2 linked regions of the Lonchura striata genome follow. The protein of the gene in region 1 interacts with the protein of each later gene in a pairwise test. Links are inferred from orthologs where the notes say so. Each region holds a gene or a part of one and is shown on either strand. Other genes may lie near its edges.

Region 1 (15,817 bases):
GAAGCACAGAAATAGCAAAGAAAACACCAGGATGCTGCTCTTTTGTCAAATATGATCCATAAATGAGGATGCTGCTCTTTTGTTAAATATAAACCATAAAGGAAGATGCTGAAAGGATGACATTGCAGATCAAGCTGACCTGCACATGTCAGCTTTGGTGGGGCTGAGAAATCCTGTGGGCAGTTTAGAAACAGAGTAATAGGCTCCATAAGGAAAAAATACAATGGCTGTCATGCAGTTACTACTCCTCTCACTGCCTCAGCCACATTTTCAGGTAAACAACCATTTCCCCCCATACCAAAATGCTGTCTTGTATGCACTGGCACCCAATAAATTGCAAAGGGAAGAGCTGCACATGTTATGTGAGTGCCTACAAATGCAAGTCACAAGGGTCCTCCACCTGGGGCTTACCAGAAAACAACAGAATGCACAAGGCTGGGATTAGCACTGTAAAGCTGGGCAGTTGGTAACTTCTTGGCCTAAACAAATCCCAGTCCCACACCTATGCTGTCACAAGATGGTCTCACACACTGTGTGCAGGCCACAGGCAAGAGTCTCCAGTTCTGGGTGTGTAACTTGTGGCCAGTTCTGCTGTGTTAACATTCTGTCTAGAGTATGCTGGGCAAATTAAATATAACCTCATTCTTGTGAACCTGGCCAGGCTGTTCCAGGGAGACAGAAATATTAGGTTAGAAAGAAAATAATTACTCTTTGAGAGGGAAAAAAAAGCAAGTCTCTTGTTCAGAGGACAAATCGGTCATGGGAGGATCAGTGTGGTGGGTGAAGTTGTTTGGAGAAGAGGGTGTGTGAGGAGGAAGCAAGCACAGGGATTGTCAGGCACCAGGAAGGCTTTGTACCTGGATGGATGGGTGGAATGGGCGCTTCCTCCGAAGCATAGCTGACCACTTGGCCAGTAAAGCTGGCTGATCCTGAGAGAAGCAGAAAGGAAGACAAGTGGACAGAACAGAGAGAAAGCATCATTCATTCACAGCAAAGGTCATTCATTCACAGAGCAAAGCTGCAAGCTTCCCCGGATGCTTGGAGTTTGTTGAAGGAAAATCCCCCCCCATTTCCCCCACCTTGATTAAACACTTGGCAATGCCACTGGACAGTGCAGTACCAGTGATTAGTCTGCCCCTCTTCATTGTAACTTTACTGAATTTTCATCAGCCCTGCACAGTTGACAGCTCCAAAAATGGTGGGCCACAAAAAAACCCAAACAGTTAGAACTTTTAAAAATTAAATAATCTGTTTTGTTCATATGAATTTTAATTCAGGTTTTCAATAAAGCATAACTTTTTGTTACATGGATCACAGGAAAACACTGTATACCTGAAGACTTTTCTTAACTAGTCTCCACTCAGCCCTTCATATTTAGAAGGGAGCTTGAGGCTTCTCAATAAATTTAGATCTCTCACCATGTTAAATTGATTCCTTTTAGCCAGAAGCTGAAAGTTCTGAAAAATCCTGTAGAGTTAACTGACATAAAAAAATATGTTGCGAAATTGAACATGGAAAAATGAATAGATTGACTTTCCCTGGACACAAGTCTCCTCTATGTTAAAGTATGTCAGCAACAGTATTAAAGTTTTCAATCTTTCGAAGTAGACAGCCCAAACCAAATAATTTCTCATCAACCCATTCTTTCATGCCCCACACAAATAGGACAGTTAGTCAGTTCCTCCTAGTGTTACTTCCACAGATTTGTAACACTGGGTTCAGTTAAGCACGAACAACAGATCTGCCACTTTTAAGGAAATAGATTTTGAGGATTTCTTTCAAGCAGAATTTGTTCAGATCTGCATACTATAACATCAAGTTACTGCTCATAATAGATTGCCTTGGTGGTCTTGTTCTACTTTGCTTTCCGGAGCAACAATTTTACCCTGACCCTGGTCCTGTCAGACCTCATTAGCCAAGCAGGTTTGTTCCACACAAGAGGTGCCTGGCAGAGTCTGGCACTAAGGAACTCATGGACCAGGATGTGGCACTATCACTGTGGCCATACTTACTGACAAGACCACATGCTCTGGGATACAAGAAATCCAGAAAAGCTATGAATCTGAATGTCTTTGTCCCCAGGGTAATGGCCACATTTCAGACTGGGTGATTTTATTTTGCCTCCACCTCCATACCATTCCAGCAGCTTCATACAAAGACTTCTTCCCTTTCAGTCCCAGAGAGCTGCAAAAGTTGCCTCGTGCTTTTATGTATTTGCTGTGTTTTGATCTGTAAATGGCTGTGGTTCAGTATAATGCTTGACATTATTATTTCAACTAGTTCAGATGAAAAAATTGTTTTCATCTGAAGTTACCATTGCTGTGATTGTTTCTTGTGTCTTTACTAGTTACTTTTGTGTAATGGAGTCACAAGAAATAAGCAGCCTTCTTCTGTCACAGCTGGGAAGGACATTACTATTTTTACGTCTGAAGGTCTAAAGCAGGGAGGCATTTCAATTCTCCCACTAATAAGAATTATTTTTTTCCTAATGAAAAAGAAATTCCAATTCATGACAAAGAAAAAAACATATTTTTCAGAAGAAACTTTCTAATGTTCATAGCAGAAGAAGGACTTTTAATTCTTCTTTAATCCTTTTTAGTGAGTTGACAGCTTTTTTACCTGTGAAAAATATGGGTCATAGCTCATGAAGGCATGAGCATTTTTTCTTAAGTTACTGCTGCATAAGTTTTTCTTTCTGACTCCCAAAGAGTTTTGGCTTCTGTTTGTGGATTGACAGCTCTGGCAATAGATGCTGTTTGTAAACACAGCAGCTGCAAGAAGAGGCTCTGCTTGATTTATCCATCTCTCTTGGATGCTCCTCTGGCTGTGAGATGTCCATGAGTGAGTGCCAATGACCCAGTCAGTAGAACTCCACAGTGGTGTCAGCACATCGTCTGTGGTGTTTGGGTGAGGTACCTGCCATACAAACACTTACATAATGGAGAAATCACTTTCTGGTTGCCTACAGGCTGCCAGAGAGTGCATTAAGGTTTTTCTTCATACCTTGATGTTCTCATTGTGAATGCCAGAGTTGGAGATAGCCTGGAATCGCACGGCCTTGTAGCTGATTTCTGCAGTCAGCTGCTGGATGATTTTCTGCACCTCCTCCACTGCTTTGGAAACCAGGTAATGCCGCCGTTCCACCTGTCAGTTCCAGAAAAGACACTTCATGTTAGATGTAATTGCAGTCTTAGTCTCCAGTGGGAAGCACACAAATCAGCTTAAAGCATCCTGAAACATTTGCGCTTGTGCTGCACTGGGAATAAAAATTGTTCCCCAGTCTATTGCAATCAATTTACCATGAGACAGAGCTGAGAACACCAAAGGGTCAATATTCAAGACTATTGAGTATTAATTGATATTTCCATGCCAACACCATTGGATGGAAGGAAGGGAGTTCACTACACAGATAAATTTATTACCAACTAATTCTACAGTCTCAAGTCTTTATCCATTTGATGCAGAATACCAGTTACTCCCCTGCATATGGTAGCCATTCTCAAAGTCAGAATATGTTCCATTCCAAGAACTGACAGGACATCAAGACTTCGAGATTTGTCCATTAGTCAGGTGGCAGATGTATGTGGCATCAGTTAGATGCCTACCTTTTACACTGAAAGTATCCATATTTTCTTTATGGCTGAAGTACAGATGAAACTCTACTCCTAGACAGTGTGAAAGCATATTTCCAAAACTGGCCCCATTGGGAACTAGGTGTTTGTGTGGCTTGAAGGGTAGTTTTTCAATTCAAGAAGTAGTTGCATAATGAATTATTGAAAATTATTTCAGTGAAATGTCTGAGTCTTGGGACAACTGAGGTGATGAGTGGACAACTCAGAAAAATATAAGATGAACCTGAACCTCACTTATGACTAAAAGTTAAGGGAGCACAAGGGGACTGTCACAATCTGAACAAGGACATTCAACAAGAGGAACATGAAGGAACCATGTTAGTAAAGGACATTTAATATTTCCCAAATATCCTTACACATTTACCAAAGTGAGGAGATTCAGCTGTTAACAAAGTTCAAGAACATATTTGTCATTACTTATACAAGCAGAATTACTTATGGAGAGTGAAATATTAAGACTGTTTACTGTTCATTTTTGGATCCTATGCTTCATCTAATTTAGTTGCAGCTTTTGCTTTCTTCTTGATTCTTCTTTTTCCTCACCATATTCTACTAAATGTTATTGCTTGCAGGCAAGAAAAAAAATCAGAAACAGAGTTCATCACTCGGCTAAAGTGAATGATAAAGCATAATTGCCACAGTCAAATATAATTGCTACAATATTTTGTTATTATCAAAGACCAAAAGGAAGCAAAATCATAAGTTAAAAATTCTGTACTGTGAGGGTGGTGAAGCCCTGGCACAGGTTGCTCAGAGAAACTGTGGATACCCCATCCCTGGAAGTGTTCAAGGCAAGGCTGGACAGGGCTTTGAGCCCTTGTCCAGTGGAAGGTGTCACAGTCCACGGCAGGGAAACTGCACTATATGATCTTTAAAAGTGCCTTCCAACCCAAACCAGCCTATGGCTTTCTAAATTTCCTGTGTCCTGTTTACTCAGCATCTTCTTCAGCATCTAAACAACTCCCTAGTCTCTTTTACTATCAGCCAAAAACACACAAGTGTGTTGAAATGTGTCCCTAGGGCCTGGAAGAGGACAAATACATCCACTTCTTCATAAAAAGGGACCATTCAATGGACTAAAGTGGATTAGCGCCTGCCTCATATCCATTAGCCCATAAACAGCAATTGACTAACACTGAACTTGAACATGAGCAGAGTTTGAATTCCTTCCTCCCTCAGACAACAAAGTTAACAGTACTTCTACTAAGCCTGAATAGCTTTTGAAAGTGGGAAATATGTCAGGCAACAGCACCATATTCCCTTGACTGAGCTCTCATCCACCCTTGACATTCTGTTTCTTTACTATCTTAACACCATGTAGTCCTTCATGTTTATATAATGCCCTTTAATTTCCCTAGTAATTCACCCTCCTCCTCATTCCAATTCACCATTTTATTTAAGAGCAGTTTTAGCTACTTACATGTACTTAAAAAAAACCCAAAAAACACTGAAAGATTTTAGCCCATGTTCATTTTCACCTCCTCATCTCAGCTTTCATTTATGGCACTTCTCCATCTGTATCTATACTGTATCTATTTTCTCCACCTTATTTTTGTTCATCCAGAACAACTCCTTAGAATAGTCCAATAAGCTTGACAAGATACCTAATGGTTTCTCCAACAAGTGAATGGTGTGTGGCAGAGAAAGTTGTCCATGTCTAAGAGCTTTTATGCAAAAAAAGACTTTTTTAAAACTGAAAAGTATAAAAAGTATACACAGTGGGTCAGCTCAAACAGAGACTTAGAGTGCCCTCTTTATGCATTCCTCATGCTCTGCTCTCTCTAAGGGGCACCTGCTGGAAACATTTTTTGCCACTTCCAGTATCCAGGGAAAATCTATTCAACACAGCCTGGCCTCATTTAATTCTGCCTTCATCACCTACTGACTAGGCTACAGCAGTTGTCATGAATTCTTTATAATATACACTAAAAAAAAAAAAAAACCAGTTGAGGGAGTACCACTAAACACCTCTTTCCATGTGTTCTCCCCATCACTGGAGCAGGGATAAAAAACAATGGGCATGTGACTGACAGAGGGTGCTCACTATAATTAACTAACTATAATTAGCTCCCTAATCATCCTGTTGGAAAATATAACCTTCCTACAGAAGGGAGGGTAAAAAAATCAGAAAACAGAAGGTGAGTCTGAAGAGCCAAGGCATTTATCTCAGATACTTCTAGTACCAGCACAGACACATTGGAAGAAAGACACTGTATGGTATTTGCTGGACAGTCACTTCTGTGACTCGCTGGCATTCCCCTTACTAGGTCTTAACTCAGGGAATTGTGCTAAAATAAATGCACAAAACTTGAATAACAAGGTCAATTATGATTTTATTAAGGGGGAAGGAAGCAGGACTGAGATTTATTAGAAACTGTTTCCCTTATTTACCCAGCCTCATCCATACCATACACATTCAAATTTTTCCTTTGATGAGCAGCTTAAGGATGAAATCTCTGGTATTATAGAGATTCATTGCACCAGGTGGTTGACCTATTTCCAAAAACAGGCAGCATTTGACAAGCTGAACTGCCTGAAGTTGGACAAGAGGCTCAGGAGCAGGCAGAAACTAAGAATCCATCAGAGCTGGAGGGCTGCTAGAAAACAGACTTCTAGTATAATCTAAAATATTGGCAACTATGAGTCTCACTTAACTAGAGCCTGCTTCTGTTCCTTGTACTTATGGCTGTCATATGAGCATTTTCCTGTGCATGGCTTCCCTCTGTTCCCTCCTTTGTAGCTCTGCTTTTTAAATCTTCAGAGAAGTGTTCTCTGTTATAGCTCACTGAACAGATTCTTATGGAATTATTTTCCTGTGCACAACACTGCATGCCTGAAGAAGGTATATTTCTGGGAGAACTTTCCTACTTGCCACCAAAACATTTCCACAGAGAAAACAAACCTTTCTTACCAGCCCCTTCATTGTACTAGAATATGTGATCCTTTACAGAAGATAAAGCCTTACACTTTCTCATTTTGAAATTATTTGTCACTTTGGTATCTTGCATTTTGTTGGGGAAAGCAGACAATAAAACAGGATCTAGCTAAGTACTGCCATGAAACATGTCAGCTTTAAAAAATGTTATGGCTCACTTAGAACTTTTATTAAACAGTATTGTTTCACAGAAGATTTTATTCTGTTTTATTTCATTTCATAATGGGGGAAAAATTGAGTGCTGGAATATCTTATAAAATAGAAAATGAGATTCCAGTCTGCATATGCTAATGAGACATGTTATTTTAATCATGGTATATAGAGAAGTATCCTAAGTTGAGGTGACAGACTGATGACTGAATTCTAACAATATTGGTCTGCCTCTGCAGTTCCTACATGAATCTTTTTTAGAGGCAACACCTGGCTGGTGTTGGTCTTGTTTTGGTCAAGCCAAGACCACCAGACAGGGAGAGAGGCAAGGACATTTCCTTAGATTTAAATGCTGTCAATTACAGCTAGTCTCACATCTGGAATTCCAGATTAGGAACAAAAATTCAGGACACCTAGAAGAAGAGGACAAACACCTTGAAAAATTAGGCTACCAGCAGATAAGATTCTACAACAGAAACCTAGAAATCTCATTAGAAATACAGTTCTCATGAAACTTCACCCAATCTTGTCTCAGAAATGAAGACAGCAGGCGAGCAACTAAGTGTCAAATTTGGCACCCTTCAGAATCAACACCTAGTGTGGGAGACAGAAAATCTGGTCAGATAAAGTCTTACCTTGCTCTGGATGTAGATTTCTACATCTTCATCTGTGAACGGCTTCATGGCAAGATGGTCTTCGCTGCTCTTTAAAGTGTGAATTCACTCTTCACTTGTTCACCTGCCTCTGGAAGTAGAGGAACACTCAGAGAGAGCTGCTCAGAGCCTTCTTGCCCTGTGAAGCTCAGTTCACCTAACAACTCTGTGCTGTGGGTGAGTAAGAGAAGAGAGAAGCAAGGAAGCATGCCTATTTTTAATAATTTTCTTTTTCTGCTCTGAGCTACAATGGTGACTTCCAGCTCATTCAGAAAACTAGCTCCAAATATTATTCTCTACCTTCAATTGTTATTATTAATCTTATTACTTTTAAATGGTGGATCTTGCATGCAGGCATACACAAAAAAATCCCAGCAACTGCTCTGTCTCAGGGCAGATCTGGAAGTGCTTTTCAGATTGCAGTGCAGCTTCAGTACATACATGCACAGCATTATTAATCTGCATGCCACTAGTACGCCCCTGCCTCACTACACCCTTTCTTAAATGCTCTCAACAAGTTATTCCTTGTTGACTAATCCATTCTCTTTCCATCTGAAAACATATGGGTATTTTTACACTCATATCATTCACTGGGGTTGCAGTCTGCAACCCCTGCTCCCCTCTTCTCCCCTCTCCTTATATCTCCCCTCTCTCTCTGGCTGTATTGACAGTAAATATTGTGCAGCTTGTCCCCTCCTGTAGCCTGCTTCTCTTTCTTTACAGTAAACAGACAGAAAGCTGCCTCTCGTTTTCTGCCAGCAGCTCAGCTAACAACCCCATATGGATGATTCAGAGGCAAAAACAATTGATCAGGCCTCATTGATCCAATGAAGCTTGGTGGCTTTTAGAAAGAAGGGTACATCAGCACATAGAAGGGAGAGACAGAGTATAGACATGAGACCCCATGCTGCTAAGCATTTCTTCCTTATTAAGGAAGGCACACTCCACTTTTGGGTAAGATTTACTGCCTCTGCAGCAGCTGGCAAAAGGCAGCACATGGGTGGGCACTGGGTGCTACCTCAGGAGAGGTACTGTTGTTGCTAGTTATCCTTCATTACGTCCTTCATTACGTCAAATATGAAATACATTAATTTAAGTAATTAATTGGAGCACAAATACCTGCAAGACATCTGCTTCCCTAGCACCTACAAAGCAAACCTTTCTCTGACAGACAGCTGCCACTGTCTTCTTACTGACTTGAAGATTCCTTCACAAAGATGTGTAGGTATTTACTTCCCAAACCAGCTTCCACTAGAGTTGGGCACTGAAAAAGATTTTCTCGATTCCCCAATGTCTAGGGACTCATACCATATTTTTGCTCACTTCAGGATTCACTGGCTCTCTTTCCTCTGAGGGGACAGCAGTTTATGTGAGCTCTGCTAGGAAAGCCAGATAAAAGGCAGGGTCTGAAAGAAGGCAAGTGAAATAACAGGTTGGAACAGAATTTGTAGGGATTGGTTGAATGGGATTATATCCAAGCAGAATGTACAAGAGAGCATTAAAAGCATGCCCCTAAAACATTAAGTCCCTGGTGCTCCCTCAGTCAGTCAGCTGCACATATAGCAGACAACTTCCTTAACACTCTTGACACCACCCGACATTACTTTAATACTCAGACCCTCAGACATGTATTATGAAGCAAGGAGAGATTAAGGGTCTCTCTTTCTTGCACCTGTAAGGTCTCTCCTCGTGACAGCTGTCCAGAGACATAGTGCTGGCAGAGAGATGAAGTGGTTTTGGTCATTTGTCTTTTATATAATAACACACCTTATGTTCATAATCCTTAATATTATAATCCATCCATTATTTCCATCTTGTAAGTAGCACATATTATGCTACTAATCGGCTACAGTAAATACTACAACTGATAAAGACCTTTACACCACCAGCAAAATACAGATTAGAGTGGTATCAAAGGCAGCAGACAGTCTTGACCTCACAAGAACTTGTGTTTGTCACATGAGGAGCAGATAGCACAGAATGCAGCAGAAAAGTAGAGGCAGAGGCCATGTGTGAAGAGGGAATGTTACTGTGAGAAAAGCCTGCATCAGAAGGAAAGAGTAAAGAGAAAGGACAGAGCAGAAATCAGAACATCTGCATAGATAAAAGAGGATGCAGACACAAAGTGGGAAGAATCCAGTCTTCTCCAGTGAGGTCTACTGAGCTGATGCAGTGATACTGCAGAGAAACCTCCATCAGATGGGTCCTTCTCAGGCACCTTCTGCTTGTATAAAGTAAGATAAAGGTGGAGAAAATTGGAAATGGATCCAAGCTCCAACAGTTGATAAATACAATCTCATAAGAAAATATTTCCCCTGAGCCTACAACAACTTAACTCCCCAGGCACACCAGCAAGAGGGAGTGAAAAATGGCTATTCCTTTTTCCTCGCTCTTCAAGGAGCACAGAAGGAAAGAAAGAGGTCATCAAGAGGATGAAGCCAGGTTCTTCTCAGTGGTTTCAAGCATCAGGACAAGAGACAATGGGAAGAAACAGATGCACAGGAAGTTCCACCTGAATATGAGAAAGAACTTCTTAAATGTGAGGCTGATCAAGCACTGGAACAGGTTGCCCAGAGAGTTTGTGGAATCTCCCTCACTGGAAATATTCCAGAACTGTATGCAGTTGTCTGTATGCAATCCTGTGCCATGTGCTCTGGGATGACCCTGCTTGAGCAGAGAGGTGGGACCAGATGACCCATTCTTTTGTGAAAAAGCTCACAACAGCTTCATGGAGATAAAAACCACTCTGCTAAAGCCAGGCAACCATGTGAAGACAAAACCACTCTTCAGTTCTAGTTAGCTCACAATCCATCAGATATCATGGACATGAGCACTACTGAGAGCTTTTGAGCTTGATTAAATTGGCAAATTAAACTCCTAAGTATACTTGTTTCTAAGGAGATTCCCATCCACACTGAGAATGGCTATCTTTTTGACACCTCTGAATCCTCTTTCTTTTCTAGTGATTGTTAGAAGTGCCTTAGGCCCTCACTAGGGTCTGGGCATATTTTTGAGAGACAAGTTTCTCCAGACAGTTCTTGCTGAAGCCCTGCAACCTTCCTTCCCTCTTTGATGGTGTCTCTGATGAGGTTTTTAGCATCACATATCTAATTAGCCAACCACAGACACCCAAATTCTGCTTGATGAGCATCCATTGATTTATACAGTTTCTCTCAAGCATTTTCAAGCCACACTTCAAATACTTTGGTCTTCTCAAATCACAGTTCCCTGTCTGCTGATCTGCATAAGATCATATGAAATGACTCAGCTATATTACATCACCCCATTTGTATTATTTCAGTTCCCATTTTATAGTACCTTATAATGAAGTTCAGATTGTGGATAATTTCCTTTGTACCTGCATCTTCATTTACATAGCAGTACTCTGAAGAGGATTTAGAAATTTCCTAGTATCTGCAAAAACACTGAATCTGTGGTATATAATTTTCATTCATGCTGTTGGCAATATGCAGGACTGAATATGATTTTGGATCTGTGAAATGCTTGTGAAAGTATTCTGTGAATATATGCCTTGAATGGTATTAGATTGGCTCTTGTATGTTGTGAAGATGCCAATTACTGATGCTTTCTATGCTTGCTTGGCTTTCCTTTCTTCACTCTTCAGTTTCACAGATATGACAAAGACATTTCAAACCTACAATCAAAAGTAATATGAACTGTGAATTGCACAACAATAAAGAAATCACCAACATCTTGTAAATAAGAGCAGCAGTCTTAACTGCACAGGGTTGTCCAATATTGTGTCTTTTTCTGTTGGGCAACTATTTAGAAAAACTATTCATACGGAACAGTGAGCATGTATTAAAAAGCCTCTGCTAAATCACACAAATGAGTCAGACCAATGTACCACTTGTGACTCACAGATGATCTGCAGTGGCAACAAATAAGCCCTGTTGAAAATGCTGCCTTCCAGATGAAATACAACCCTGAATTTCTAGTTGCTAATGATGACCCATCTCTTCTTGCTCTAATTACCAGAGGCATTAAGTCTGTTGCATTAGCTGAACCATGTACTTGGGTCAAGACAGACCACTAAACCAAATGATCCCAACAGATTTAATAATCTCTGACAGTTCTCTTGCCTTCTTAAACTGTTGTCCCATTTCTCCCCATTAGTGGATTAAGTGACTGTGCAAAATGAGTAATTGTAGCTTGAATCCCCTATAACATCCATGCTGTGACAGTCGTTAGTACTGTTCAGCCTCCATTCAGAGGATAGCAGCATAACATAATCAGGCTTTTTGGGGGCAAAAGTTCTGGGAATTTATTTGGGTTTTTTCCACTTTGTCTTTAAACAAGTTGATATGAGCAAAGGGGATACGTCAATGACAAAAGCATGGGATGGACTAGAGGGAAAAGAAAGTCCTGCTAATTCACTGTGACAGCACCAGAATCACATATGGGTGCCAAATTGAAATGCTTCTCCACTCATTCCCTCCCATTACCAATCAATACTTGTCAGGCTCAAAAATGCTCCGAATGCTTCTGCTGCTTGTTCTCATTGCCACACATTCTCACATTAGCCTTGGACCTGCACTTCATATCATGCAAGTTAAAGGTTTACATCCTTTCCAAACTAAGCACAGGATTGGATCAGGTCCAGTCATTTATAAAACCTGATATCTTTTTTCCATTTGTGGTCATACCAGACACGTCAGAAAAACACAGTAGAAATGAGTTCTCTTAATCTGGGAAGAGATTTGAAACCCCAAATTATTTACAACCTGAATGTTTTCAGGCTGCAGTGTAGTATTTCCAAAGAGAGTGATCACCAACTGAGCATGTGGGAAATTCTGAAAAATGCTGAGATTCTAATGCTGCTACCCACTACTGATCAGCCTCAACTAGGAAATTCATCAGAATCCAGTCCATTTTGCAGCTGCTATTAAGCATCAAGCCACTGGGCAGCAAATATAAATCACACAGCAGTGCTTCTAATATTGCCAACATCGCTGGGACACAGTGTGGTGATGTGTTCAGGGTCTGGAAATTTCCAAGTTTAAAATGGTTAGCTCAGAAGACGGCAGGAGAGGCAGGAAGCTGGGAGTCTGGCTGCATCAGCTCTGAGGCTTCCAGGAGAGTGTACTGAGATGTGGGACAGGAAAACTGGCAATTTGAGTTCTGAATCCTTGTACTATCCTCTGAAAGTTCACTGAAAGAATGTAATTTCAATGCATCATAATTTAAACATAAAATATTCCACTAGACCATTTCTAAGGATAATTTTCCTCTATGTTTTATCCATCACTAAACTACAACTACTGTTTTACTGTTTCAATCAGGATGTCCCACCATCTTGAAAACCTACCTGCAGCCAACATCCACAAAAATGACAGCCTTCCAGCATCTTTATTATATGCCTAGGTAAATAGCTTGCATGCTGAAAAGGAAATACTTGATACCACTGATTTAAACACATGATTAGAAAAACAGCATCTGGAAGAAACATGTTTGGCAGAGCACAGTGCAACTGGGAAAACTTTTAGCACTGGAAGTCTTTTCAGGTGAGAAAAAGCTGCCTCACTTTTGATGTCAGCACAGGTTTGCTGCTTATTTTCAGGTGTCAAAAAAAGCATTTTAAATTTAGGGGCACAGTAACTTGGGACAGAGAAACCAAGTCCAAGATTTAAAAGAGCCAAACCAAGAAGCATGCTTGCAATGATGCTCTGTCAACAAGAGGGGCTGAATGAGACTCGATTCACTGCATTTCCAGGAGCTGGTATTTTTTTCGTGACTGCTCTCAGAGCACAATGTTAGTTTGTATTATTTTTACACTTTGCTGCTGTGTCCAAATTTACCCGATTCAGAACTTATTGCTTCAGTCCACAGCAGTTTGAAGTACATTGAGTAAATTACCAGTGCTAAGTGAGAACAGTCACTCCAACACAAACTCACTTGGGAGAAAGAAGACTCAGACTGGCAACCCTGTTTATGTGCTTCATTCAGTCACTGACTAATAAAAAATGTACAAGAGTTCAGTGGAGCCAGAGCTAGAAACTAGGTCTCATATATCATAGGCCAATGACAGGTACACACCCCTAAGATCTATTGCCTTTTCTTTATCAAAATACAATTACTGCAGAGCAAACAGGCCTGCTTGAGCAAGGAAACTGAGAAGGGCCTCCAGGCCCAAAAAAGCCTGGCCCTCAGGAGCTATTTTAGAGTGCTGGAATAAATACTTGTGTGGAAAGAGAGCGAGATTTAAAAAAAAAAGCTAAACTAAACAAAGAAAACCTCATAAAAACCCCAACAATAATGAAGCAAAAAAACCCATCCCCTCCCACCCAAAACAAACAAAACCCACAAAAAGCCCCCAACAGAGTGAGGACAGCTGATAATCACATTCTGTCAGAACCACATGAAAAGCAGATGTGTTTCTGTATGATCTTGGTTAGCAGCAGTGCCAATCCACTATCAAAGCTGTCTGATCAAACTCCACAGCTTGCCACCCTACTACACACAAAGGTCAAAGATCCCAGACTTCCCAGGTGATCCTTAGGATATGTCAACTTGGACACGGTGTTGTGTCCCAGGGCTAACGTGGCACTGTGGAGAGGATGGAAAGAAGAAGTTGAAGAAGCAGTAGGGATTAAAGGAAGATTTTGCCAATATACCTGTAGAAGTGTCTCAAGAAAAACACAGGGGAAGGCCCAGACAGCTACATGCTTTGTATGGGAAGAAAGCAGGGGAGGAGAGTCACTGGGACTCTGCAATGCATGGGCCCAGAGGGAAACAATTGCCATGTGGGAACAATTACTGTACAATGAGAGCACCAGCAGAAGTGAGAAATAATTTGGTTTTTATCAGAAGTATGATATATGTACCACAAAGCAGACCAAGATAATCAGCCAACTAGTGAGAACAAGCCTTGTCAGAATCTCTACAGAGGCTTCAGTCAAGTCTTTTCAGAGTTTCTAGACAGATCACATAATGACCTGAATAGCTACACACTCCAGCTTCAGTCACTGGAAGATGAGCTAACAGCCTCCAGCCCAAGCTATGTCTGGCTAATACATATGGATTCTTTTAGTCCATAACTTCTGAAAATTTGTCATCTGAAAAGCAGGTAGCAGGAGAAATAAAGAGAGAAAGCAATTTCATTCTCAAGCAAACATTTCCTCCTTTATCTCAGACCCATAAAACTATACAGCATCAAGCTAATTCCCATAATCAGCTGCCCAGCCCTTTCCCCTTTATTGGCTGTTTTGTGCAACCAAAACCAAACTGCCAAAGGGAGAGGGTCAATCGTTTGTGCTGTATCTGCTCCAGGCGGTGACAGGCCACGGGACAGATATCCAGGGCTAGAACTAGTTAAATGCAGATTAAGGGCACTGAAAACCAGAGTGGGGGAGGAGAAACAATCATGGAATAAAACCACAGGGAATATGCAGAGCAAGTTGCTTGGCCAGGCTCCTGCATGAAGGAGCAAGCCATCTCTCTGCTCCTTGGGTTTTCATGGAGGGAGGGAAACGAGCAGATGTGCTTCAAATGGAAAATGAGGTGAATAATGCTACCAGCCACCTGGTACGAGAGAAACAGTTTGGTGCAGGAGGGAAGAACAGCATTCACAGGAGGACAGGGTTACTCAGTTTCTGCTACCCAGGGACTCCATGAACTGCTCTCTAACAAAGCAAGGGTTGGCAGAGGAAACAGTGAAACGGCAGCTTAGAACAGAGCACTGATCCCTATTCCCCTACAGTCACTTTTTCCAGATTCTGACAATATTTTCTTTGCCACTGGACAGGGGACAGGAAATGCAGTCAAGCTATTTATCACCTCATTGCCAGGTAATGAAGACAAATGCTCAAATTTTGCCATTCCCTGACGAAATGTTTTGGCAGGAGCACTGAGGACAGGGACTATGGCCTTGTGCATTTGCATCCACTTTAAGAAGGGGTGTTTAAGGGACAACTGGAGCTTATGGGAACTCCCCCAGTACATGTTAGTAACACCACCACAGACATTTCACTATGCTAAACCCCCCAAAGTGTTTCCAGTCTTTCAACATCAATCAGCACAACTGAAGCCAGTAGTAAATTGATTCTCACATTCCACTGGTGCCAGTTTTTGTTAGAAATGATTTGTGATAGATATGGTGGAATATATTGATTAGTACTGACAGTCCCAGTTTCCCAGGCGCTTTGTAGCACTGCCTTTCCAAAATGACCTGCTTTCCACCTTGTCAATTTTCTTCTGCAGAGTCCATTAGAAATATCTATTCTATTCTGAGAGCTTCTTGTCCCTCCAGAAAACAAAACAAAACAGTCAGGCAAGTAAAAAAAAATCAGTACAATAAAATAGGTTTGCAGTGTTGCAAAAGAACTTGTTTTTATTGAGACATTTTGTGTAAGGGGAAGAAAAGGCACAAAATAAGTTACAAAGACATTGGATGAACTGTACGAGTCAAAGGCAGTATCAGAGCTGTT
Region 2 (14,925 bases), on another chromosome or scaffold:
GTGACTGAAAAGCAAGGATGTCTTAAAGGAAAGTTTTTGTATGAATTAGGAATGTTCACAGGTGATAGTAAGCGCATAATTTTCTCTGCTGTTCTTTACAATGAGAATTACATTCATATTAGCCAACACTTACAAGTATTTTCTTGTCTTTCAAAAGGTTATTCACCTTTTTAAAAATGCAATAATATTTTAAAACATTAATATTTTAGTTTACATTCTCAATTATATTGGGTTTTCTTTAAGAATGCTCCAATATTTTTTAACAATTCACTGCAGTGTTAAGTATCCTAGCTTCTGACTTACAAATAAATACTGCATGTATGTAAGATAGCTGAACTTCCTCAAAATAGACAGAAATTAAATCACAACAAAAAACCCTCCTGTGACCAGAAACAGAAAATTAATGGATTGTTCCAATTACAATAGTTTTTTAAACAAAAACAGGTATTAACTTTGGTTGATATTAAGTCATTCAAAAATCACATGCAATTTTGGTAAAAATCATTGCTTTAATACAATCTATCTAGAAATATATGCTTTATAATCTACATACATAACTGCTAAATTTCCTTATTTCTTGCATATGACAATTTTTAAGTAATTATAAATATCTGTAAATATTTGATTACATTAATTCCTTTAATTGAAAAAGAGAGAAAAAAATTAATATGATTCTGTAAGTATTGCTGTCTTCCCCTGCTTTACACGGATATTCTTATACACCACCTCAGCTTCACCCAAGAATTATAAAGTTCAAGGTGTGAATGACATGTTCCAGAAGGACATCCTGCTTTCTTAACACTAGTGGTCCACAGCCCAGGCATTAAAGCAAACCCTTCTCCTACCTCTACCATCTGTAGAAAAAGAAAGACAAGTAAAAACCTACTTTGGTCAAAAAGTAAGGCAATGTTGGGACCATTTTTCAGGCTAGCAGCACAATTTAATAATTGATTGGGAAAAGCAGTAATGAGGTATTAGTATTCAAAGCATTGTCATAAACTTCAATCATTTAAAGTGTTCAGGGCAAGAAAAGGGAGAAGGCTGTGCAGTAAGTTTGGAGAAAAGCATTTCGATATTACGAAGTCCTATTTGAAACCAGATGTTTTTAGAATTATTCTACCATGAACTAATTAGTGCCTTTGCCAATACAAGACTGAACTAGGCAACAATTGCACTGCTAAAAAATACCATGCATCTATGCACTTGACTGTGCAACTTATAAACTAGTTTTCCAATTTTATAACAGAAAAATACTTTTATTCTAGAAAATCTTGATCATTATATTAATATAACATGGATTTTTAAGTGACTAATAACCACAGTACAATAATAAAATGTTCTAACTCAGCTATGTAAACTATATCAGTAAGTTTTTCTTCTAAATCCAGCACTGCATTTACAAAGAAGTGCACTAACAAGAAGGCATTGTTTTATTTTTGAAATTTAAAATGGAGAGTGTTCTATGTTTCACTGTGAATTCTCCTTGTTTTTGTTTAAAAAAATAAAAAAGACCATGATTACTTCTTTGACATAGACCTTCATTCCCTATTCACAGAAGAAAAGATCTGGGCACTACAGTATACTTTAAATGTTTTCCATGTTACCTTGTTGGTCAAACAAATTAATTCACAAATAAATCAAAGTACTCAGTTCACCATCAATAAAACAGACAAGAAAAAAAAATTATGTTTACCTCCTATCTTCTGACTGTGGAAGTCTCACAGAAAAGATCTGTTAACAAGATTATCTAAACAAAAACACTGGTATAAAATAAGATTTAGACAAACCTCTATTTCTAATATAATCAGATTACAGAAGCAGACTCTGATGGGAGTCTAAAATGTAGTCAACATTATTTGATAGGTCAGAGCTATACATGATTTAGAACTTTTACAAACATTTTTGTTGGTTTAGGTACCAGTTCACCACAGAACGAAATTTAACAGACATATTAATCAGTTTATGATAAAGACTTATTCCTATGCCTAAAATCCTCTTCACGATTCTTTCCTGACCCATGATGGATAAAGTTCTGTGTTGACCAATGCCTTTTGAGAGGGGCAGAATGCTAATTCAGCATTTGCACAGAGCAGGCCCAGAACCTGGCTGCTGGTAAAACTGCACTTCCACTGCATTAGCTCTCTTAGGTCTGAAGAATTATTATGCTTAGTGTTGCCAAGTACCCAGATCAAACTTTCCACATGGAAAGGCTTACTTGAAGTTTCCTCAAGGAGTAGAAATTCCTGCATTAGCCACAATTTAATTGTAAAATGTGTAATCAGTCAACAACGACTGTCCATTTAACCTAATTGCACCTTTTCTTAATGTAAACAGTTTCGATTTTCAAATCTTTCAGATGACACCACTCCTGATTAAATTTTTTAACTGTGCACTGATGTTATATGACTATTATGTACAGGTATCTGGACAGTAATGTAATTATTCCAGATTTTAACCAATCTGCATGTCTGAGGCCTACATAATGAAACTATGTAATGGTTAAAGCAAAAGCTCTGAAGGATGCAAACCAAGGAGAACTCAAATTAGAGAATTCAATATATTAAATTTTATCTTAAGATAATAAAACAAATAGAGAGAATAGAACTCAACATCAGTAAGAGTGTTCATAATGGAAATTCTTCCTGAGGTTTAACAGCTGTGTTAGTACTTCTTGGTGTTTAGGAGTCAGTAATGTTTTCCAAGACAGCACACGACAGGGTATGCTTTCTTAGCACTCAGGACAATTTTGACACATATTGATTACAATGGGCACTTATTCTGATGTACAGCTTATCCTCACACTAACGACAACGAAAATACAGTAAGAATGTATCAATAGGGGAGCATAATATGCAAAGAAATAAAATTTCAAAACCACCAATCCTAAATGATAGCAGGGACACAGTAAAAGGCGAAGGACTACACGCTGGAATGGAGTCACAGAGAAAGGACTGTGTATGAGTGTATTTTCAAAATTTACATTTTTTGGTTCATAATGCGAATCTGAAAAAAAAAATCCAACCAAACAAGAAACCAACACCAAATCACAAGCCAAAATCCCAAACCCAAGACATTGCCACTGAAATTCTGATGTAAATCCAGCCCACACAACACTGAATTTATTCTAGTGTGCCTGCTCTTCAAAAAACTTCACTGACACTCAGTTGTAGACTCCTCTAGAGCTGGGTAGTAATACAAAAAAATTGAAAAATTGAGAGTATACAAGTTAAAAGTTTCATCCTTAATCACTCAATGAGAAAGTTATTTGAACACTAACTACATGTTAGCAACTTTACACATGCTGTATCTAGTTTAAGTATGTTTAAATAGTTTACAAAATAAAGCATTCATTCTCTGCATAAAACCAAGCCCCACAACCTGTAAATTGCAGCATGGACAAAAACCCAACAGATTTTGTATTTTCTGTCCGTCAATTTTGAGGTTACCTTATACTCATCTGCAGCAATCCACTCTGCTTCTTTTCTCTTCTTTTTTCCCTTTTTATCCTTGGTGTGTTTAGTACCAGAGGCCTGGTAAGACTGCAGATCCACTCGTGAATGAAACTGGTATCGGCCGCTTTCCACATCACAGTAGTAATAAATTCCAGTTGCTGGGTCGTAATACAGTTGGTTTTCCTTTATAAGAAATGAAGAACAATGTTATCATCACTTCAATAAATATACTGTTCAAAGAAACACCTGATTAATAAAGAACCACATTTTAATTTTGATAAAATGAAAGAACTGTGGTGGCCCTGAGAAATGTAAACAAAAGTGAGTTGTGGGCAGCAAATTTGGGGTAAATTACTTCATTACCTGAAAACTGTAATTGGAAGATTAAACCCCAAAATGCAAATGGACCAAACTTATCTAAGTATAAAAACCTGTGATCTGTCGTCCATTTTTTGGATGTATCCCCTGGGGAGGCTTTGTCTGCCCTAAATATACCTGAAGGCCCTTCAATAAATATAACTAATTTTTATTACCTCAATTTTGTCTGGTCTCTGTTTTTAGGTAGCCAAAAAAGGCATCATAAGGAGCTACTTCTGTGTGGGATCCTCCATGGACTGTAGTATGAGTAGGTTCCACGTGGTCTGCTCTATGGATTCAGGAAATTGCCTGCTCTGGTGCTAGGAGAACCTCCTCCTGTTCTTCTTTGCCCCTGATGTTCACAGGGTTATTTTACACACTCACTCCCCCGTACAGACTCCACTGTGCAGAGTTATGCCCCTTCTTACACTGGTTTCAGATAAGCACCACCAGCTCTTCTAATGGCTGTGCTGTGCCCTGCAGTGGAACCAGCCATGTCCAGGCAGCCCTGGCCCTCTTCTCAGAGAGGCTTCCTCTGCAGCCCTGGCCTCATCATCAGAACTTTGCCAGCAAACACAATGCAAGAACATTTCCTGCGATTCAGAACACTTATGTACCAAGAAAAGTCTATAAACTGTAATCTATAGCCCCAAACATTTATGTATAACTATATGAACAGTGTCAAAACCAATGGTATCCTTTAAGATCTCAAAAAATAAGTCCAGAAGCATCCTGAGAAGAGTTGTGTACCTCATGCATTTTTTACAGTTGAGTTGAATATAACAGTGCAAACAAACTCTGTTCTCAGTGCAGTACAGTGTATACATATCTTTCCACAGATCTGTACACATATACAAACACACCTCATAGGACAAAAAGAAAACCTTTGTAAAAGCTACATGAAAATGCATAGCAAAAAGTAACTATTAAGAATTCTGACCCATCATCTAATCTTCTTCTAACACTTCTAAAAGAAGTGTTTTCTTTACCTGTAGAATCAAACTAGTTGCTAGCACTACTCAAATAAAAACACAAAACATTTTGCATATTTTCTCCCAATACCCTTTTCACTGTGGAGAAGCAACTGACTTACTTCAGAAAAATGTCTTTTTCTAAACAAGACATCTTTAAGCTCAAGCCTTTAGGTTTGAGAGAGTTACAGATCACCTTTCTAGCATAACATCTGTACAATGCCAAGTAACTTAGAGACCTATGAGACATCAAAATAACAGAATTAAAATCTAAATGTGTGTCCTAGCCTGCTATCTTTGCCTGAAATGATTAAAAAACTAATTAAACACTATTCATTTTCAGTAACCTGTTTTTCAAAACGCAAGATCAGCTTGGATCTTAGTTCTTTGCTCATCAGCTTTTACTAACAAAACTTTTGCAATAGACAAAAAATTCCAAGGGTTTTGGAAATGATCCTTACTGAATTGTAGTAGAATCCAGTGCTATGGTCGTAATACAATCCTGTATTTTCATCATATATAAATCCAGTCTGTGAAACAGCAGCCTCTGCAGCAGCTCTCAAACTCTCTGCCAGAGAACCTTCTGGTACTGAAGTTTCTTCTGTCTCCTGATAACAGAAGGTAAGGAACGTAAGTGGTCTATGAACTTGGACTGTTTCAGAAGGCAAAAATCTGGCTGTGGTTCACTAGTAAACTCCTACTGATTTCAACCGGACCAAGACTTCAGCCCATGTCTTTTGTTTTTCCCCAGCTTTACTCGAAAGTGACTCACATAAAATACACGCACAAGAAACATCTTTCAGAGCATTCCTAAGACAGATTTCTGCCCTCTGTTCTATTTCAGTTGCTAGATGCTAAAGCACAAACTCAGTTAACTGAGCGACCTAAGAGAAGGCTGGAGTGCAGGGAAGAAAACCAACCCACCACAAAATAAACAAACCCCACCACCAATGTTCTTTTCCTTGTATCTTGCTTCCTTATGTTAATGAAACAAAAAATAAGAAGCACGATTTGTGAAAATCAGAATGGATATATTGGACATACTCTGCTGATAAAAATAATCCTGCTTCCAGGCTATGCAGGATATATATGTCTTTTTACAAAAACTCTCAAATTCCAAGACACAAATCTAAGAGGGTGTTCCACTTGGAACACACTACAAAAAGAACTAATTTTGAAGTACAAGGGTATTAGCAGCACTAGACCATCAGAAAAAAATATTTCACAAAAAGCTCTCAGGACCACAAGTACATCTTTTAGATGGAATATTAAGAGTACTGATTTCAAAACTGGTGAAACTCCAAACAGTCCAAAAACCTGTGAATTCTGGATGAAATTTTCCTCTTCTCCACCTTCAATAGCTTTGGTGCTATCCTTCCTCAGCGGAATATTAACATCTGCATCCAATTCCTCTGTGGAATTATGCTCAGTGCCTTCACTCCCATGACTGTGCTGCACTGGTAGTTCAGATGCACAATCTTGAGTATCAGTGTGACTGTAATAATTTTCATAGTAGTAATAATCTGCCAGGGGAGAACGGGAAGAGAAAGAAAAGTTGAAGTTGCATAAATTAGGAAGGTATATTGCAATTTAAGGATACTAAATCTTAAACTGGAAGTTTATGCAAGTAAGTAGTCGAATGAAAATCAAATATTAAGTAGTGCCTCTACTCTGAATTTATTATCCTACTGAACAAATTATGTCTTTATGTTTTCATATACTTCACGACTTGGTACAGCTGTATGTTTGCAACATGAGATTACTATGGAACAAATTACAATGGAATGAATTCTGCTAGTCCATGCTACATTTAATCCTGAATTAATACCTGGAGTAAACAGGAAACGTCTGAAAGATAATGTCAGGTTACTGAATTTAATTCAGCAAAGGATGTAGACCTGAAATATATTCTATATTACAACATTTTCAAACTAAGATAGTGTTCTATATCCCTATTTAAACATCACCACTCTCTCTACCTGCTTGTGACCATGCAGCACAGTCCTCTGTCTGTACTTCTACACTAGACGTATCTTTCTCCTTTCTATTATGGATTTCTTCAGTGAGTTCTTCTACCTGAAAGGAAAAATTGAATGTTAAAAACACAATACTGCATTTTAGTGGTCTGCCATCTCAGAAAAGAGAATCAGCCTATTTTGCATTCCATAATTTAAACAAAACATAATGGCATCATAGATGTTTCAAGTGATTTGTTTGTCGGAAGATAATTTTGTACTTGAATGGTTGGCATAAAGAAACACATAATTTCTGCTCACAAAGGAGCAGAGAAACTTAATTGAGGTTATTCCTAAATGTCCACCCTGTAAAGTTGGATTTCAAGCAATGGTCGCTGTTCTGCAGTGACGACTGCAACATTTACAAAGCACAGAATATTCTGAACTAGAAAGAACCCATCAGGATCACCAAGTCCAATTCTTGGCCCTCCACAGCACACTTCAAGAGTCACACCATTTGCCTGAGAGCATCGTCCAAATGCTTCTTGAGGTCTGTCAGGCTGGTGCTGTGACCACTTCTCTGCGGAAACTTCCATTGCCCAAGTACTCCGTCTGGAGAACCTTTTCCTAATATCCAACCTGAAATGCCCCTGGCACAACCTGAGGCCGCTCCCTCGCGTTCTGCCAGCGGTCAGTGCTGCCCGCCTGCCTCCCCTCACAAGAAGCTGTGCCCCGCCATGAGGGCTCCCTAAACGCCTCTCTTGCCATAGGCACTCACGGAGAAGTTTCGCCACTCTTCCTTTACCCCACACTTCGTACGATAAACTTCTTTCCCTCTGCTACAGGTAATGTTCCCTTCAGAATGCAAATCTAACCCAGTGGTAGAGAAGGCGTTACCATCCTCACCACGATGCTCCGACTGGAAACCTCAATCCTCCTCTGGCCGCTCGCAGGCCAGGAGAGCCCGGCGGGCTCGGGGGGCTGAGGGGCCGTGCGGGACGGGAGGAGCGGACGGGCGGGGAGCGGCCCGGGCGGCACCCGGCCGGGGGGCGGAAGGCTCGGAGCCCTACCTGCCTCCTGAGCGCCTCGCCGCTCTCCCGCTCCCGGCGGAACAGGCGCTGCGTGCGCCGCAGCCGCCGCCGCGCCCGCTCCAGCTGCGCGCGGCACGCGCCCAGCTCTGCCCGCAACGCCGCCGCCTCCGCCTCCTCCTCCTGCTGCTGCTGCTGCTCGCCCGGGTCCGCCCGGCTCTCGGCGCCCGGCGGGGAGGCCATGGCCGGCGGCCCGCCCCCGCGCCGCAGCTCAGCGCCCGCCCTCCGCCCGCCCCGCAGCGCCCGCGCCCGACGGCCCCGGCCGTGGCGCCCGCCGGGCAACGCCGCAGCGCACCGAGAGCTGTCCCGCGCGGGCCTCCGTCCCGCGGGGCGAGCAGCCGGAAGCGGCGCGCGCGGCAGTGCGCGTGCGCGTGCGCGCGAGGAAAGGGCGGGGCCGGGAGCGGGGCCGGGAGCGGGGAACGGGGCCGGGAGCGGGGAACGGGGAGCGGGGCCGGGGAGCGGGGAGCGGGGAACGGGGAGCGGGGAGCGGGGAACGGGGCCGGGAGCGGGGAACGGGGAGCGGGGCCGGGGAGCGGGGAGCGGGGAACGGGGAGCGGGGAGCGGGGAACGGGGCCGGGGAACGGGGAACGGGGAGCGGGGAGCGGGGAGCGGGGCCGGGGAGCGGGGAGCGGGGAACGGGGCCGGGAGCGGGGAACGGGGCCGGGAGCGGGGAACGGGGCCGGGAGCGGGGAACGGGGCCGGGGAGCGGGGAACGGGGAGCGGGGCCGGGAGCGGGGAACGGGGAGCGGGGCCGGGAGCGGGGAGCGGGGCCGGGAGCGGGGAGCGGGGCCGGGAGCGGGGAACGGGGCCGGGGAGCGGGGAACGGGGCCGGGGAGCGGGGAACGGGGCCGGGAGCGGGGCCGGGAACGGGGAGCGGGGCCGGGAGCGGGGAACGGGGCCGGGGAGCGGGGAACGGGGCCGGGAGCGGGGCCGGGGAACGGGGCCGGGAACGGGAGCGGGGAACGGGGCCGGGGAACGGGGCCGGGAGCCGGAGCGAGGAACGGGGCCGGGCGTTGCTGCTGCCGCGACAGCGTAACTGTCGGGGCCGAGATGAGCATGAGCAGCACCCCGCGAAGGCGGGGCAATGCTCGGACCTTCCGCCGTCGTCTAACCTGGCTTGGCGGTGCCGCGCAGTTGGCTGCTGGCAGTGGGTCTCAGGCTTCCAGCTGCATCATACAACAGAATGGAAAGTAATTCTAGCGGGTACTTACATGCGCACATTTTTGTTTCGAGGATTTTGTGTGTGTGTGTGTTATTTTAGAGCGGGGAGGGGGATGCTGCTTGAGGTTTCTCGGTCAGCAGTGCGGCGAACCACGCCGGCTGGAATTGCCGCCTGGGGTTGTTGCAGCTGCAGCCATTGGGACAGATTCTAAAAGAAAATTAGAGTTAGTTAGAATCATTCAGAGTCACTGCGGGGACCTGCAGCGCTGCAGCCCTGGATAAACTTTTGTGCCTCAGATTTCTACAAAGCAGTTACAAAAGGTTCTCGGGCTTTCCCTCTGAGCCCCATCTCAATATCATAATTTTCCACACTTAACCTCGCAGGCTTTTTATTTAAAGTATGCTTTGTCTCCAATGACAACAGCGCCTCTCAGTTTTTAATAAATTGTGTGATACACTTTGTTGCTTTTGTGTCTTACTGCAGAAATGAGACGTATATCATATCATAGTAGGCTATTAGATCACAGCCTAATAGCTTTCAGATCTGACAATAGTGAGTGTGTTGTATACCTGAACATCTACATCTGCTTTCAGATATGTCCTGAATGATGCACCACTTTTACACTTCAGGTTTCACCTCCGTTCCTTAAGTAACGGCTTAATTTCATTTACAGGCATATGTTTTTAAGATACTATATTTCCAAAAAATATAGTCCAAAGACACCTGAATTTGAAAGCCATGGTACCTGGCAGTGCTATTTTAACAAGAATGCTACTGTTCTCTGTGAGGACTTGCAGTCATGTGCTGTGCATTAAGTACTGTTCTGACTGGAAACCACCACAATCAAATGACTGATCTCTAGAAGATGGGCTACATGAACAGACAAGAAGTAAATCTTCTGTCCATATCCTAACTCAAAGAAAATAGGGAAAAAATACATGTGTTTTGTCTTTAAAGCATTTTGTGGAAGGGTGTAAAGCTCAGCTGTGGACTGGAGGTCCTAAGATATACTAAAAGAACTAACACAGTTTCAGACCTCAGTTTTTCTCCTCTGTAATTTCTCATTGGAAATGTATGTCTCATCAGTTGAGAATTAGTGTATTGTCTCTATCAAGAAGTTTTATTTTAGGTAGTGGCTTTCTTTTGCATCAGGATAGTTTCACTTAATGTGTATAAGTAAGCAGACCTGAGCTGGAGGGAGATACTTCCTGAAATAGCAGATTTCATTCACTGCCCTGTGTTAAATTGCCTGAAGTTTAGGGAATGGCACTACCTTCTTTTTAAAAGACTGGCCTTTGATCTGTAAGTTAAATACTCAATTGTAGAAGTAATGGATGTTGCAGTTTAGGCAGTGAAAAGAAGATGAAGAGTGATGCCAGCTCTCCAAACAGTGCCTATTCCTAAAGGTTTGCAGCAGACAAAAATGGAGAGGGTGGAGGTGACATGCATCCCTGCCACCAGTCTGTCAGTGCCACTTTCCTACCCATGCTCTTAGGGGCCCTTGACATGGACTGAGGAACTGTTGTTGCCACCACCCCATCTGAACTCCTCCTTCATCCTCTGGGATTGAGTAGTTACATTTGGAAGTTTAGATGGCATCCCAATCCAGCTAGACAGGAAACAGATGCTTAGCTCTGGCACCTTGTGTATTAAAAGAAGGTGAGATTTTGGTCACAGGGGCATTTGCCATCAAAGCACAGAGGCCTGTGGAATGAAGATGAAGTGGTTGTAGGAAGCAGGGACAGAAAGGCTGCTGGAGCACAGACTGTCTGGCCAAGGGCATTATCTCCAGAAGAGCTTTTTTCACCAAAAAGCTGTCACGACCCCAGACCTGCATGCAAGAAGATGCCACAGTGCATGCTGCCTGCACAGGCAAAATTCAGGACCCCAACTCTGTCAGGGCCTGGAGGTGAAGGAAAGGTGAAGTCACAGAGCTCTGTTGCTGCCTGTTCTTTCCTTATACTGATGCTATGCAGGAACAACCAAGAGTTGCAGGAACATTGGCCAGCCTGGCTTGCATGGCTGGCTACAGGACTACTCTCTCTTTTTCCTGATTCCCCTACCCCAGTGGAGGATGTGGTCCTCATCTATTCCTTTTTGCAAGCTTCTCCTAAGGGGAGTGGAAAGAGGTGGGTGGACGAGTGCTTGAAAGTATTGTTGCTATCACATCTTCAAGGCATTGCCTCACCTCTGAGATGGTAAAGGGTTCTGTGAATATGATTACATGTGTTTTCTATTGCAAAAATGGCCTTAAACATAGTGATTACAAATTCCTTGAAATTTGTAAACTTGGTGCTCATAGTTCCATATTCTTGTCTTGTCTTCTCTTTCTCCATGTGGATGCCAGCCCCACTGCACTTCAGGTTTTGGGGTAAATCTCTGGCTGTTCTTTTCTGGTTCAAGGTTTCTTAGGAAGTGGTGATAAAAGGCTTGGCAGATACGTGTTTTTAGCCTTGCAATGACATGGAGATTCTGAAAAAGTTCTTCAAGTGATGGTAGCACACCTTGAGACATGAATTCTCACAGCAAAATCCTCAAAAATCTTCCTGGAACTTAATGGTTCTTTCATTAGCATACCACATTTGATGAAGCAATGACAAATACAAAGTTCAGTGCCCGAACATCCTATTTAAAGTAATAGTAGCACTACGGCACACATCACAACCTACACATATATCATAAAGAAAAATCAGCTACAGGGAAATGAAAGAGAAAACCAGTTGAATCAAGAAAATCTGTAGATCGAGCTGCAGATATTTTCAGCAGGGAACCCAGAGATCTTCTTCCCTGTCAGCACTCTCCTTTTCTTATGGATGCACATTAATTAAAAAAGAGATGCTTCCAAACTTGATCTAAGCTCTCTGGAGTGGTCCTAAGCTTTTTTTAAGGTGAGAACATTTTCTAGAGTGGCACTTCTCAGAGAACAAATTCTTTAGTACATCCACTGGAGTCACATGGTCTACCTCTTGCCATGGTGCTGCTTTAAAGAAGTCAGATTGCCTGTGAGTGGATTAAGGGCTCCTTTGCTGTGATGTGGAGTCAAAACTACGGGAGAGCAGAATGTGTTATGCCAGAGAACTTCATGGAGTTCCTCAGAGCTTGGGCTGATCACTGCCTTGGCTTTGCTCTTGTCTGTGGTACCAGCTGATTGCTGACCAGGGGTCCTAGTAGCATCTTCTCAGAGACATGAGGAGTATTTCTGCAGAAAAGCAGCCCAGAACATTATGTATCCAAACAGAAGACAACTGGTTAGTGACCTCTGTTCTGATAGGTACTGAGGATATGGCACAGGGGTTTTGTCAAGCAGGACCAGGATGTGCTTGTGAAAGGCTGCAGGTACCAGCAAAAAGTAATTTGAGCTGGAATTCATGCTATATAGACAGTTCCAGCCAGTGTTGACAGCTTGTTTTGCCATGCACAGAGATTTCAAATAGAATCAGTGAACTACTTGCTATAATCTACCTGTAGCAACTTTGAACCAGTTTTAAGACAACAGTATTAATAGGATTTAAAGTTTCTGCATGTGAGATTCCTTTTGTGCCTGCACCATGGGCGGCTGTCTCCCTGTACAGCATCTTAAGGCTTCTAAGTTTCCATAGACACCAACTGCATGTAGTAGACCTACCCATTGTGCTATTGCAAGGACAGGCTCCCCAGTTTGCAGCTGGGGATATTGCTTCTGTGTTGAGGTATTTGAAAGTGAGACATCATAGCACACAACTCTGCAGAGCTTGAGCTCTATGAACATATTTCCAATATTCCTAGAACTTCTGACCTTGAGACATTCAAGGGTAAGAATGTAAAGTGAACTCAGAAAATCCAAACAGGTCTAACCATGACTAGACAAGGACCAGTGGTCCTTGTCTAGTCGTGCTTCCCTGTAAAGCAGGGGTGTTAAAATAAATAGCTTTTACCACTAGGTGGCATTTAAGGATTGGGTTTGGTGTTTTTTGTGTTTTTGTTGGTGCATTGTTTCCTTTTTCCTCACTCTTTAATTTTTTTTTTTTAATTTAATGTTCTGAAATACAGTATTGAAAATTGCCTAACTAGGCCAAAGGGATTGCTAACCTAATTTTCTTCTTCCCTCCAGCTGCTGGAGACAGTCACTGAAATTGACTTGTGGCTATTCTTTGAGGTGATCTAAGGGCTGCCAGCAGAGTAAAAAGGAGCGAGATTTGCCTATTGCCTATAGGAATTGGTACCCTAAGACAGAGTGAATAATTTGCTTCTAAGGGACAGCTTCTTTCTACCCTTCTCCTTAGGAATGCCTGCTGCTGGGAGATAACTAGATCCTTAGTGCTGTAGGGTGAACAGATACCTTAGCACAGACACCTGAGCTGCTCCAAAGCCAGAATGTTCTTTTCTGAACTTGCTGTTAATGCAGAAGAGTAAATATGGATGTGCTGTTCTTGCTGTACAAGAGATAACACTGCATGCATTTTGTCATTACTCCCTGAGGAGCTTGTCTCAACCAGCACATGCACACTCAGAGCATGGGTAGCTCACCATCCGCCTACCAGTATGGACAGGTCACAAGAACAGCGTCAACCTAAACTCTTTGGCTTTGATGATAACTTGGCTTACACGTTTTATAAAGCCTATTAAATACACTTTTTTCAGTGGCATAAAGTTTCCAAATATCTGAAATATTTTCTTAGTGATTGTGAATAAACCCTGACAGCCTTGCTGAGTCGCAAAGGCAAAAATAGATTAATGCAGGAAAGATTCAAAGTGGTAAATGAAGCTTGTCTCTGAAGACAGCAGAGTTCAGTATCTGAGGCTTGGGCTGAAGATCCCAGAAAAAAAATCCAAAAAACATCTGATGCTAATGATGCCAAAATAGTTGTAGGTAACCCTCTTTGCAATGCTACATCCCCATTGCAGAAGGATCCCACTGGCACGACAGTGATGACAATCATGGTGGATTTGTTAGCTTGTCATGCAGGTGAGATCTGACTTTCCTGTGGGGTGTAGTGCTGTAGTGTCCAATGCCTGTTGTGCTCACGTCCAAGGAGACTTCCCACTGTGCTCTTTCCAAGTACTCCTGTGTAAACCTACTTCATCCGCTCCATCTACACTTCTGCACCAGCCCTGCTGACATATTTCTTGCTCTTCACCCTGGTCTCTGCCAAATCTTAGGCTAACAATGGCCAGGCAATGCCAAAGAAGTGTGTGGCTTGCCCTACACACTGCCTACAGGGCCCTTCTCTGCCCGTAGCATGCCCCAGAATTAAAGATGACAGTGCTTGTTACAGGAAGAGAAACAGTCACATAGGCCAATCAAAAGCAGATGGCTAAGACCAAGAAAACTGCCTGTGTGGGTTTTTTATCATGTGATAGCAGGGCAGACAGTGTGCCCATATCTCCATGGCCCATCACACAGTAAGAACATGTGAATTTTACACCTGTTTGATCAGCAATTGTTAAACTTTACCAATTACTACTAATAATACTACAATACTTATAGTATTAATTATTACATGTATTTTTGGAAGTCGCAGTATTCCGACTTCCTCTCATTGTGCTACAGTTGTTGCATAATTTTTAAGTTCTGGTTTTAGTAAAGAATCAAAAGGAACACAGAAAGACTGGATGATGTGCAGGTATGAATTTGGAACACTTAAATTGCTGACAATTAAAAAGCTCTCTTTACAGGAATTTTTCTTGCAAATGCAGAACTTTTCTAGTTCTAGTTACACAGTTTCCACTTGTGTAACTGTGGGGAATATGAAAAAAAAAAGTGAAAGAGATAGTTTTGTGAGGGGAAACAGGAAGCAAAGGAAGCAAACTCATCACTGGGTTAATTAAACTGTCAGGTTTCTTCAGCTAACTCATATTTAATGAGAAAGTCTATAGGTGTATTATCTGTTAAAATGTAGCTGGAGTAGTGATCCCTAAACTGCTGTAGTCATTTATAGCCATGGACAGATGCATTTAACT

What was found.
Region 2: the proteins of MAB21L3 (region 1) and AGGF1 interact in binary tests that used the Homo sapiens proteins (3 or more experiments, as listed by UniProt). The two-hybrid records come from large-scale screens. The link is inferred for Lonchura striata from reciprocal best matches to the Homo sapiens genes MAB21L3 and AGGF1.

Annotation. Positions count from the first base shown.
Region 1 is NC_134604.1:27,125,210-27,141,026, reverse strand, and holds the start of MAB21L3 (protein mab-21-like 3), read right to left. Parts: upstream 7,454-15,817; 5' UTR 7,401-7,453; coding exon 7,353-7,400; intron 3,145-7,352; coding exon 3,004-3,144; intron 930-3,003; coding exon 858-929; intron 1-857.
Region 2 is NC_134642.1:13,287,757-13,302,681, forward strand, and holds the start of AGGF1 (angiogenic factor with G patch and FHA domains 1), read right to left. Parts: upstream 8,039-14,925; 5' UTR 8,007-8,038; coding exon 7,806-8,006; intron 6,857-7,805; coding exon 6,760-6,856; intron 6,304-6,759; coding exon 6,098-6,303; intron 5,389-6,097; coding exon 5,242-5,388; intron 3,636-5,241; coding exon 3,447-3,635; intron 1-3,446. UniProt on the Homo sapiens protein: Promotes angiogenesis and the proliferation of endothelial cells. Able to bind to endothelial cells and promote cell proliferation, suggesting that it may act in an autocrine fashion.